Linked DNA regions of Caenorhabditis elegans. The protein of the gene in region 1 interacts with the protein of each later gene in a pairwise test. Each region holds a gene or a part of one and is shown on either strand. Other genes may lie near its edges.

Region 1 (3,776 bases):
TCAAAATTTCAAAAACGTGATGTTCCTATTTTTGTTATTCCCTGTGTGAAATTTCTCCAAAATGAAAAGCCATGTCGACTTCGAACCAATCAGCTCTATACACTCCATCTGATTGTCTCGAAAATGAATGGAGCGAATCGCTGATTGGTCACAGTTATCCTTTTGAAGGAAAATCAAACAGGGAATTGAGCCAAAATTGAAACATCTTGTTTAAAAAAAACATTTCGTCTCTAAATCTCTGAATTTAGTTTTTTTGAAGCGATATTCCCATTCACGCTTTGTAAAACTGTTACAAACCATGCTCTTATTCTCCGGAGTGATTGCGGTCTTGCTGTTGCTCTGTGGCACACGACGCGTCTTCTCAGTTTCATTTGCAATTTCCGGTTTGGTCTCCAACTCCGTTCTTTCCGTTTTATCAACGTTATTAGTTTTCTGTTTATTTTCTAAATACACTCGTTTTCTTCTCTGATTTTAATAATCATATAAACTCACTTCCTTGAAGCATTGTCAGATTCTCTTGTTGTTACAGTTGATTGAATTTCTTTATGAATTTCTTTTCGGCAAACTGGGAATGAATTATTTTGGGAAATCGGGACAAAATGGGCATTGAAACGTGGAAACAAAAATACACGATGCAAAAGATAAGATCTCGGGCTGAGAAAATTATTAAAGGTGACACGTGAAATATTGCAAAATGGGACCGTGGATTGTGAATTCAATTATGTAAATTATTGGAATAGAGATTTTTTTTAAATAGAAAAAGGATACAGGTGTAGAAAAACAAATGAATTAACGTTTGAACTGGTGCTATTCAACTAATCAATTAAACCCCTAGAGTCGGATTTCAAAAAATGTAGATTAGTCATTGAATAGTTCATCCAGAATTGGCATAAAGAATTCCTCATAGAATCCGTTTGGATTCTCGAAATCTTCACCGTTCTTCTCGCTCTTTTTTACAGCGTCATTGAAATTTTCTAAAACTAGCAATTGCAGTTCTTCTTTTGATTTTCCACCAACTGTCCTTCCAAGTTGAAGTTTCAGAAAGAAGAAGTTTATCTGAAAAATAAATGTATAATTATATAAAACAATATTTACCTCTTCATCTGTCACTCCCAAAATCTGTCCAAGTAGGCTTTTTTCCTCCGGTTCAATATCTTCTCTGATCAAAAATCGTTTAATAAGAACACGAGATTGATAAATTCTAAGTGCAGACTCGGTGTTTTTTTCACACAAAAGCTCTTCGGGGATTCCTTCATCAGTGTTGTCAAAGATTTTGAAAAATGGCGAAACATTTGGATTGTTGTCATCTACTCCAGGAAGGAAGATTTCAATCCATTTGCTGCCTTCCTCCCTGAAAAATTAGCTAAAAAATATTCGCTTTCTTTTTAAACAAAACTAAATCAACATTGCTGATAAGACACATTTAGTTCAAAATAACTCACCGATAAAGAATAGATCGTCGTGATTCCAAATTTTCGTTCGGAGAATCTATAAGTTGCATATACAACATTGCAGCAACTGTTCTTGTTACTGCTTCGAGAATCCCTGCCTTTGAAAAAATCAATTCCAAAATTGGAACAGCAGGGGGTTTGATTACTGGAGGAATCAGTTGTCCACGCTCTGGTTTTTTCATCTTCCCGATGTTTCGTGTTTGTTCAAGCAAAGCCATTTTCCGTTGTTTCTTCGATGCTTTCCGAAGTTTGAGGCGACGAATCTGTGGTGACGTCTTCAATCGAATTGGCATTGGTGTTGGCGGTCTTTCCAAATTTTCTGCTTGTTCGTAGATTGCACGTAACAAAATATCAATCGGTAACAAACGGTTGATCTCTTCCATGTCCTCGACGTGAGTTTTTCTTTTGAGGTTCTGTAAGTTCACTTGACGAAGCTCTTGGACTCGATGTCGACTTGGTCGGAATCCGTAAGGAGGGGTAAATACAGAAGATCTGAGAGAAGAAGTTGAGACGAGACCCGCTTGTGGGCAAGCAATAAGTGGTGATGCAATCAAAATTCGTCGTTTTTTGATTGGAGTTGGTGAAGCATGGAACTTCTCTATAGAAGATTGAATAGATTTTGTGATTGATGGAGTCATCTGTAATAAAAGAGATGTTTAGTGATAATGCGATGATTATGCAAGTAGTAGAAATATTCGGAGAGCAAAAAAGAAGTGAAAGCGATAAGCGTCAGAGAAAGGTATGTGCTGTATATGCACACATATGTACACTCCAATAAAGGATTACAACTTTTTTAATTTCAGACTTTGGAATTGTTGATGTGGAATCAGTTGGAATGTCTATGTGGTACAGATAATACCAACAAGAACATGTGTTTGTACTGAGCAAAAAATAAATGTATATAATGGAAAACTGTTGTCCAGATAGGTGGCTACAGTTTGAATCTGGCAATAATGAGTCACGTGAGTGATGTCATCGCGGGGAAAAACAGGAGAGAGAAACAATGAGGAAACATCACTGGATCTTCGAGAAAACTGTTACTTTCCGAACATCGGGCATAGAGCAATGTTTTGAAATCTAAACTGGTTTAATAGATATGTTTTACGTATTAGTTCATTGGTCGAAGTTGAAATCACTGAGAATCCGGTTTCCAAGAAAAAGAAAAGGAAATGATTTTGTCTATCTCTACATTTTGAACTTATAAAGTGCTGTCATCTATTTTGAAAGCATGAAAACCGTTATTGAAAAATTTGAAATTCTATGTTAACACTAAAATTAATAAAATACAAAAAGGTATAACTATAAAATTGAAATATTTATATTGAAAAGGAATAACTGAATTGAAAGCTATTGCTTTTCATCTAATGTAAACATTTAGACAAAGAACTAGTGAAAGGAAAGAATATTCCAGAAAATCTTTTCAAGTTTGTTTTTTATGGAATGTAGCTCTTCTACTAGAATTGATGATTTTAGTTTCAAAAATTTCACCAGCTCCGCCCAAATTTTCTCACAATGATCCAGTAAAGGCCACCGAAGTCACCAATGTTTAGTACTCGTTATCATTATTTCTCGAATGACGAAAGAAGAGCCAGCTCTTATTCCCAACAATACCGCTTTCTCTTATCACTTATAAGAAGGAACGACAAAAAAAGAAAGGCACATGATATAATAGTTGGAGTCCAATAACGAAAAAAGGATTTTGTCATATGATGAAGGAACAGATACTTAAAAAAAAATAAAACAATGACACAGTTACAACGATCCATGTCAAGCTATCCCTATTACCGTTAAGCTCAAGAGTAATAGACTTATGATTAAACTGTTACACTTTGCACAAGTAAGCGTAATGACAGATTTCTTGAAAGTGACTAATAGTTCAGCTAAGTAGATTTAAATACCAAATGACCTTATGAACTTGAAACAGGAATAGTATTTCATCAAAACTAGATGGGATATTGTCACATGGTCATTTGATTTGTTACTTTCACTTTTCGTTAAACAGATTCTTGAGTTTTGATGCCCTATTTACATGAAATAATATACTTACTACTAATTCAAAATTTTCTGGGATGGAAATTTTTTGCAAATCGCAAAACGCGTCAAAATTCAAACTAGAAACCGAGCCAAATGCAGTCACCATATACGTGTGTATCAGTCAGTGGTTAGAAACATTGAAAAGCAAAACCAAACAGATCAGTGAGAGTATGATGAAACCATAACATTTTCGGAAAGCAAAGTCACAGATTGTGAGCGTATGTGTTTATCACCATTCACACTACCCCCTCCCTTCTCAACGCTCTTTCCGTTCCCCTGGAGGAAGAAGGG
Region 2 (7,813 bases), on another chromosome or scaffold:
AATGAATAGCATGAAATAAATTTTAATACTTTTTTTTGTCGAAAAAAAAATAAATCCGTAAAATTTGGAGGGGGGTGGACATTTACAGAAAAATGTGTGTGTGTGTGTGGAAAATAATAATTAAATATTGAAATATTTTTGTGGGAGCAAAAAAAAAAGGAAAAAAATGGTGTTTCGGCGATATAAAAGGGGGAGATTCTTCGGAATTTTTGGGCGAGAAAGAAATTTCGAGAAAATTTCGAGAAAAAATTAGAGGAAATAGTCGGCGTGCGGTTTTTTGGCCGGTGCTCCGCGATTTTCTTGTGGAGCAGCTTCGAAAATTGTGAATTCCTTGTTGAGATTCTCGTCGAGCTCGAGAATTGCCGCCACGTTGCCGCATCTGGAAAATTTTCATTAAGTTTTTTTTTACTGCAAAAAAAGCTCAAGTTTTCCGGGAAATTCAATTTTTCTTTTGAAACAAATTTTTGGGTTTGATCTACAAAAAATGCGGGATTTTTTTGTCCAAAAAATGTGACGTCAACACGTTCTTAATCATGCAAAATCAGTGCGTCACTTCTCCCGCATTTTTGTAGATCAAACCGAAATGGGACACTCTGGCACTACGTGATTTTGGCGGGAAAATTTTAAATTTTCTGGAAACAAATTTTGGCGGGAAAATTTAAATTTTTTGGAAACAAATTTTGGCGGGAAAATTCAAATTTTTTGGGAACAAAGTTTGGCGGGAAAATTCAAATTTTTTGGAAACAAATTTTGGCGGGAAAATTCAAATTTTCTGGAATCAAATTTTGGCGGGAAAATTCAAATTTTCTGGAAACAAATTTTGGCGGGAAAATTTAAATTTTCTTTTAAAAACATATTTTGACGGGAAAATTCAAATTTTTTGGAAACAAATTTTGGCGGGAAGTTTAAATTTTTTTGGAAACAAATTTTGGCGGGAAAATTCAAATTTTTTGGAAACAAATTTTGGCGGGAAAATTCAAATTTTTTGGAAACAAATTTTGGCGGGAAAATTCAAATTTTTTGGAAACAAATTTTGGCGGGAAAATTCAAATTTTCTGGAATCAAATTTTGGCGGGAAAATTCAAATTTTCTGGAAACAAATTTTGGCGGGAAAATTTAAATTTTCTTTTAAAAACATATTTTGACGGGAAAATTCAAATTTTTTGGAAACAAATTTTGGCCGGAAAATTCAAATTTTTTGGAAACAAATTTTGGCGGGAAAATTCAAATTTTTTGGAAACAAATTTTGGCCGGAAAATTTGAATTTTTTGGAAACAAATTTTGGCGGGAAAATTTAAATTTTCTTTTAAAAACATATTTTGACGGGAAAATTCAAATTTTTTGGAAACAAATTTTGGCGGGAAAATTCAAATTTTTTGGAAACAAATTTTGGCGGGAAAATTCAAATTTTCTGGAAACAAATTTTGGCGGGAAAATTCAAATTTTCTGGAATCAAATTTTGGCGGGAAAATTCAAATTTTCTGGAAACAAATTTTGGCGGGAAAATTTAAATTTTCTTTTAAAAACATATTTTGACGGGAAAATTCAAATTTTTTGGAAACAAATTTTGGCGGGAAAATTCAAATTTTTTGGAAACAAATTTTGGCGGGAAAATTCAAATTTTCTGGAAACAAATTTTGGCGGGAAAATTTAAATTTTTTGGAAACAAATTTTGGCGGGAAAATTTAAATTTTCTTTTAAAAACATATTTTGACGGGAAAATTCAAATTTTTTGGAAACAAATTTTGGCGGGAAAATTCAAATTTTCTGGAAACAAATTTTGGCGGGAAAATTTAAATTTTCTTTTAAAAACATATTTTGACGGGAAAATTCAAATTTTTTGGAAACAAATTTTGGCCGGAAAATTCAAATTTTTTGGAAACAAATTTTGGCGGGAAAATTTGAATTTTTTGGAAACAAATTTTGGCGGGAAAATTTAAATTTTCTTTTAAAAACATATTTTGACGGGAAAATTCAAATTTTTTGGAAACAAATTTTGGCGGGAAAATTCAAATTTTTTGGAAACAAATTTTGGCGGGAAAATTCAAATTTTCTGGAAACAAATTTTGGCGGGAAAATTTAAATTTTCTTTTAAAAACATATTTTGACGGGAAAATTCAAATTTTTTGGAAACAAATTTTGGCGGGAAGTGTAAATTTTTTTGGAAACAAATTTTGGCGGGAAAATTCAAATTTTTTGGAAACAAATTTTGGCGGGAAAATTCAAATTTTTTGGAAACAAATTTTGGCGGGAAAATTCAAATTTTTTGGAAACAAATTTTGGCGGGAAAATTCAAATTTTTTGGAAACAAATTTTGGCGGGAAAATTCAAATTTTCTGGAATCAAATTTTGGCGGGAAAATTCAAATTTTCTGGAAACAAATTTTGGCGGGAAAATTTAAATTTTCTGGAAACAAATTTTGGCGGGAAAATTCAAATTTTCTGGAAACAAATTTTGGCGGGAAAATTTAAATTTTCTTTTAAAAACATATTTTGACGGGAAAATTCAAATTTTTTGGAAACAAATTTTGGCCGGAAAATTCAAATTTTTTGGAAACAAATTTTGGCGGGAAAATTCAAATTTTTTGGAAACAAATTTTGGCGGGAAAATTTAAATTTTTTGGAAACAAATTTTGGCGGGAAAATTCAAATTTTCTGGAAACAAATTTTGGCGGGAAAATTTAAATTTTCTTTTAAAAACATATTTTGACGGGAAAATTCAAATTTTTTGGAAACAAATTTTGGCCGGAAAATTCAAATTTTTTGGAAACAAATTTTGGCGGGAAAATTCAAATTTTTTGGAAACAAATTTTGGCGGGAAAATTCAAATTTTTTGGAAACAAATTTTGGCCGGAAAATTTGAATTTTTTTGGAATCAAATTTTGGCGGGAAAATTTAAATTTTTTGGAAACAAATTTTAGCGGGAAAATTCAAATTTTCAGAAAAAAATTGTATTTTTTCCTAAAAATTATACTTTAAATGATAAAAAAGTGACCAAAAATTTTAATTTTTCGTCTTTTTCACGAAAAAAAAATTTCCGTTTTTTTTCCAAATCCATCCCGTACCGATAACAATAGTTGGGCGCCGACCAAACAGTGAGCACTTTCTCGTTGAAATGCCATTTATATCCTTCCATAACCAATTGATGAGCTCTACAGATCAAATCGACTCCGTTCGTTTCGCAAAACGTTTTCGACGCGTCCGCTCCGAATAGATAACCGGCTCCGCGTGGACTTAGGCCCCATCCAACATTTCCTTCTTCGGGGTCCGACCACAGTAGATCACACATTGGACCGTCGTGGGGAACCTGGAAATTTTCAGAATTTTTTTTCGCTTTTTTAGCACAAATTTATACGTTTTTCTATCAAAACGAACAAAATTTGATTAAAAAATTGATTTTTTTTTCAATTTTTGAGGCGGAACGGTGGTTTTGCAAACCTGCGGCGCGGTTTGATTTCTGTCGATTTACGGTGGAGTTTGTGCTACACGTGGATAAGCGTTTTTTTTTTTTTTTCGAATTGTTCTTCAGTTCTGTAATTTTTTTTGTAAACACTATTCAAAAAATATATATATATGGACCCAATTTTTAATGTTGAACACCAAAAAAAATTGGCAAAAATGGCCCAAAACTGTAAATTTACTATTAGAAAAAATTAAAAAATTAATCGACGCTTGTCCGTGTGTATTACAAAATTCTCCGTAAATCGAAATATAGCAAACCGCAGACTTGCAAAACCTTCGCCCCGCTGGAAAAAAGTGATTTCTCGAAAAATTTAACGTAAATTTTGAAATTTCGCTTCAAAATATCCGAAATAGTATCAAATTCAGAAAAATAAAAAGATTTTTCAATTTTGAATTCCCTCCAAAATGAGAACTCAAACTCCGCCCACTCCATCTGATTGGTTGAAAAGTGGGCGGAGCGAATCGCTGATTGGTTGAAGACAAAAATCGCGTTTTTGTGGTTTTTTTCTGATTTTGAGACTATTTTTTGAATTTTTTAGTATTTTTCGGGGAAAAAATCGAAATAAATGAAATAAAAATTAAATTGGTCGATTTTGATGAGAAAAAATTAGAAAAAAGTCTGAAAATTAAAAAAAAAAATTTTTAATGAAAAAAACGGAAATTTTTTTTTAAACGGAAATTTTCGGAAATTTGCCGATTTTCTGGTTATTTTCATTTTCGGCAATTTGCCGATTTGCCAGAAAATTTTAATTCCGGAAATTTGTCGATTTGACGGTTATTTTCATGATCGACAAATTGCCGATTTGCCAGAAAATCTTAATTCCGGAAATTTGCCGGAAATTATCAATTCCAGCAATTTGCCGATTTGCCAGAAATTTTCATTTTCGGCAGTTTGTCGATTTGCCGGAAATTTTTAATTCCGGCAATTTGCCGTTTTTCCGGCGAATTCGGCAAATTTCCGACTTGCCGGAAATTTTTAAATTCCGGCAATTTGCCGATTTGCCGGAAATTATCAATTCCAGCAATTTGCCGATTTGCCGGAAATTATCAATTCCAGCAATTTGCCGATTTGCCGGAAATTTTTAATTCCGGCAATTTGCCGTTTTTCCGGCGAATTCGGCAAATTTCCGACTTGCCGGAAATTTTTAAATTCCGGCAATTTGACGAATTGCCGGAAATTTTCAATTTCGGCAATTTTCCGATTTGCCGAAAATTTTTAAACATGGCAATTTTCCGATTTGCCAGAAATTTTTAATTACGGCAATTTGCCGATTTGCCGGAATTTTTTAATTCCGGCAATTTTTCGATTTGCCGGAAATTTTCAATTTCGCCAATTTGCCACAAATTTTTTAATTCGAACATTTGCCGATTTGCCAGAAAATTTTAATTCCGGCAATTTGTCGATTTGCCGGTTATTTTCATTTTCGGCAATTTGTCGATTTGCCAGAAAGTTTCATTACGGCAGTTTGTCGATTTGCCAGAAATTTTTAATTCCGGCAATTTGTCGATTTGCCGGTTATTTTCATTTTGGGCAAATTTGCCGGTTTGCTGATTTGCCGGAAATTTTTAAATTCCGGCAATTTGCAGATTTGTCGGTTATTTTCATTTTCGAAAATTTTAAAACTTTCCGGCAAATTCGGCAAAATGCCGGAAATTTAAAAAATTGTAATTCACCGAATTTTAACCGAAATTCAAAGCAAAATTCCATTAAAAACAGCATATTTTTTGCGTTTTACCTCCTGCTTCCGATCAATAACACGAATCTGATCCATAGTACTAATCGACGGGGATAATCCACCATGAACACAGAAAACCTTCCCATCAATTACAGCGGCAAGTGATAAGTAGTCGAAAACTTCGGTACAATGTTTCCAAACAGACGCATTTCCATATTTCCGAAGGCATTCATCATAGAACCCGTAGACTTGAGTAATCTGGCGACTTTCGTGATTTCCACGGATCAACATCATTCGATCCGGATAGCGAGCTTTCAGTGCGAGAAGTAGAAGGAATGTCTGGAAAAATATCGATTTTTTGGGAGTTTTTTTTGCAATTTTTTCGCCAGGAAAATTGCAAAAAAGCGGGGGCACCTCCACAGAATAGAAGCCTCGATCCACGAAATCTCCGAGGAACAAATAGTTGGTGTTCGGCACTGGTCCGCCGACTTTGAAGAGCTCCATTAAATCGTAGAACTGGCCGTGGATGTCTCCGCAGATCTGGAAATAGAATTTAAAATGGAAATTTTGATTTAAAAATCGATTTTATCCAACCAACCGTCACCGGAGAATCGATAACCTGGACGTTGCCCTCTTCCGCTAGGATTTCACGAGCTTTTGCGCAAAGTGTTTTGACATCTTGCTCCGCGATGAGCTCACATCTCATCAGCTTTTCTATGTGGCTGAAAATATTTTTTTTTTGTTGATATTTTATTGTTTTTATATCAAAACTGCTACCGATCCAAGTCATGAGTTGTTAGCTGGTCCGATGGGCCGGAAGTCGGTGAGTCGACACGTGAAAATGTGGAATTTGCAGAGTCGGTGCACGCCAGAGCCATTAAAAGCTGTAAAATACGTTGTAAATCGATTTTTTGAATTAATATTTAATTTAAAAACGAAAAAACGAAAAAAACCAATGAAAACAGGCGAAATCGACTTTAAATCCAGAGTTTTTCGTGCAAAAATATAAATTCAGTGTAATATTGGCATTGTGCCAGATTGCCAACAGAGCGCGATTGCGCCGTGTGGACGAGAGAAACCTCGGTCGCGGCCAGGAAATTTTTTTTTTTTTTTAATTTTAAAAATTGTTTTTTCGGAAATTTTCTCTGTTCTAACCAGTTTTTTTGCGAATAATTCAAATAAATTTCAGTGAACAATGTCAAGTTTGGCGAAACTCGGGTACTTTTTCGACGAAAAAGGCGTGCTGAAAACGGAGAAGGACAAAAAACCCTTCAAATTCACTACACAGGAGGATTATGAAGAACTGGGAGAAGCAGTTGATCTGGAAGTTTATGAGCTTCTGGAGACACGTTGTGGGCTGAAGAGAAAGGCGGTAAATTAAGAAATTTTTAAAAAATGGAAAAAAAAATTTAAAAATCAAAAAAAAAAATTTTTTTTCAGCTAAAACTTCCAGGAAAAACCGACGAGGATGAGGATCTAAGCTTCATTTTTGTGTCGAAAAATTTCAAAAAAGCTGCAAATCTTCTAGTATTGATCCACGGAAGCGGTGTCGTCAGAGCCGGACAATGGGCTCGTAGACTCATTATCAATGATAATTTGGAGTGTGGAACTCAGATTCCGTATATCGAAAGAGCTATTGAAAATGGATGGGGTGTTGTGGTGATGAACACTAATTTGAATGAAAGTAAAGATCAGGATTTGAAGGTGTGAAAAAACCCGGGAAATTTCGAAAAATTCGCTGAAAAATCGATTTTCAGTACTCCCGCACACCTGTCGAGCACGCTGAAACTGTCTGGATAGCGTGTATTGAGCCATCGAATGCTAAGAGCATCTACGTGGTGGCTCACAGTCGTGGTGGTTACGACACAGCCAGTGTGGTGGGATTTTCAGCACTTTTTTGGCAAAAAAAAGCGAAAAAATCGATGTTTTTCCGATTTTTCAAGGCGAAAATCCCTGTTTTTCTGAATTTTTTAAAGGAAAATGCAATTTTAATCTATTTTCAGCTTTTTTTTTGGCAAAAAAGAGCGAAAAAACGACATATTTCCGGATTTTTAAGGCGAAAATCCCTGTTTTTCTGAATTTTTGAATAAAAATGCGATTTTAAACTGTTTTCAGCTTTTTTTTGGCTAAAAATGAACGAAAAAATTGACTTTTTCCGAATTTTTAAGCCATAAAACCCTGTTTTTCTGAGTTTTTGGATAAAAATGCGATTTTAAACTGTTTTCAGCACTTTTTTTTTGGCAAAAAAGAGTGAAAAAATCGACTTTTTTTTTGATTTTTTAAGGCAAAAAAACCCTGTTTTTTTGAATTTTTGAATAAAAATGGGATTTAAACTGTTTTCAGCTTTTTTTTGGCTAAAAAAGAGCGAAAAAACGACTTTTCTCCGATTTTTTAAGGCAAAAATCCCTGTTTTTCTGATTTTTTTAAAGGAAAATGCAATTTTAATATATTTTCAGCTTTTTTTTTGGCAAAAAAAGCGAAAAAACGACATATTTCCGGATTTTTAAGGCGAAAATCCCTGTTTTTCTGAATTTTTTGAATAAAAATGGGATTTTAAACTATTTTCAGCTTTTTTTGGCGAAAAATCGACATTTTCGCGATTTTTTAAGGCAAAAACCCCTGTTTCAGGTCTCGCCACGACAAAATTGTGTTCAAGGAATAAGAAAAAAAGGTATG

The links.
Region 2: the proteins of F25B3.5 (region 1) and pph-4.1 interact in a two-hybrid assay, tested with the Caenorhabditis elegans proteins (one large-scale study listed by BioGRID).

What each region holds. Positions count from the first base shown.
Region 1 is NC_003283.11:9,568,203-9,571,978, forward strand, and holds F25B3.5 (uncharacterized protein), read right to left. Parts: upstream 2,096-3,776; 5' UTR 2,090-2,095; coding exon 1,443-2,089; intron 1,364-1,442; coding exon of another isoform or gene 1,360-1,363; exon of another isoform or gene 1,352-1,359; coding exon 1,096-1,351; intron 1,057-1,095; coding exon 859-1,056; 3' UTR 524-858; downstream 1-523. Other genes in the region: F25B3.4 (Serine/threonine-protein phosphatase), read right to left, coding at 298-443, 493-505.
Region 2 is NC_003281.10:12,345,316-12,353,128, forward strand, and holds pph-4.1 (Serine/threonine-protein phosphatase 4 catalytic subunit 1), read right to left. Parts: upstream 6,022-7,813; 5' UTR 6,016-6,021; coding exon 5,915-6,015; intron 5,860-5,914; coding exon 5,736-5,859; intron 5,678-5,735; coding exon 5,552-5,677; intron 5,477-5,551; coding exon 5,198-5,476; intron 3,307-5,197; coding exon 3,065-3,306; intron 380-3,064; coding exon 250-379; 3' UTR 8-249; downstream 1-7. Other genes in the region: FAM172 family protein homolog Y75B8A.31, read left to right, coding at 6,333-6,509, 6,578-6,841, 6,895-7,014. UniProt on the Caenorhabditis elegans protein: Protein phosphatase which plays an essential role in meiosis and in early embryonic mitosis.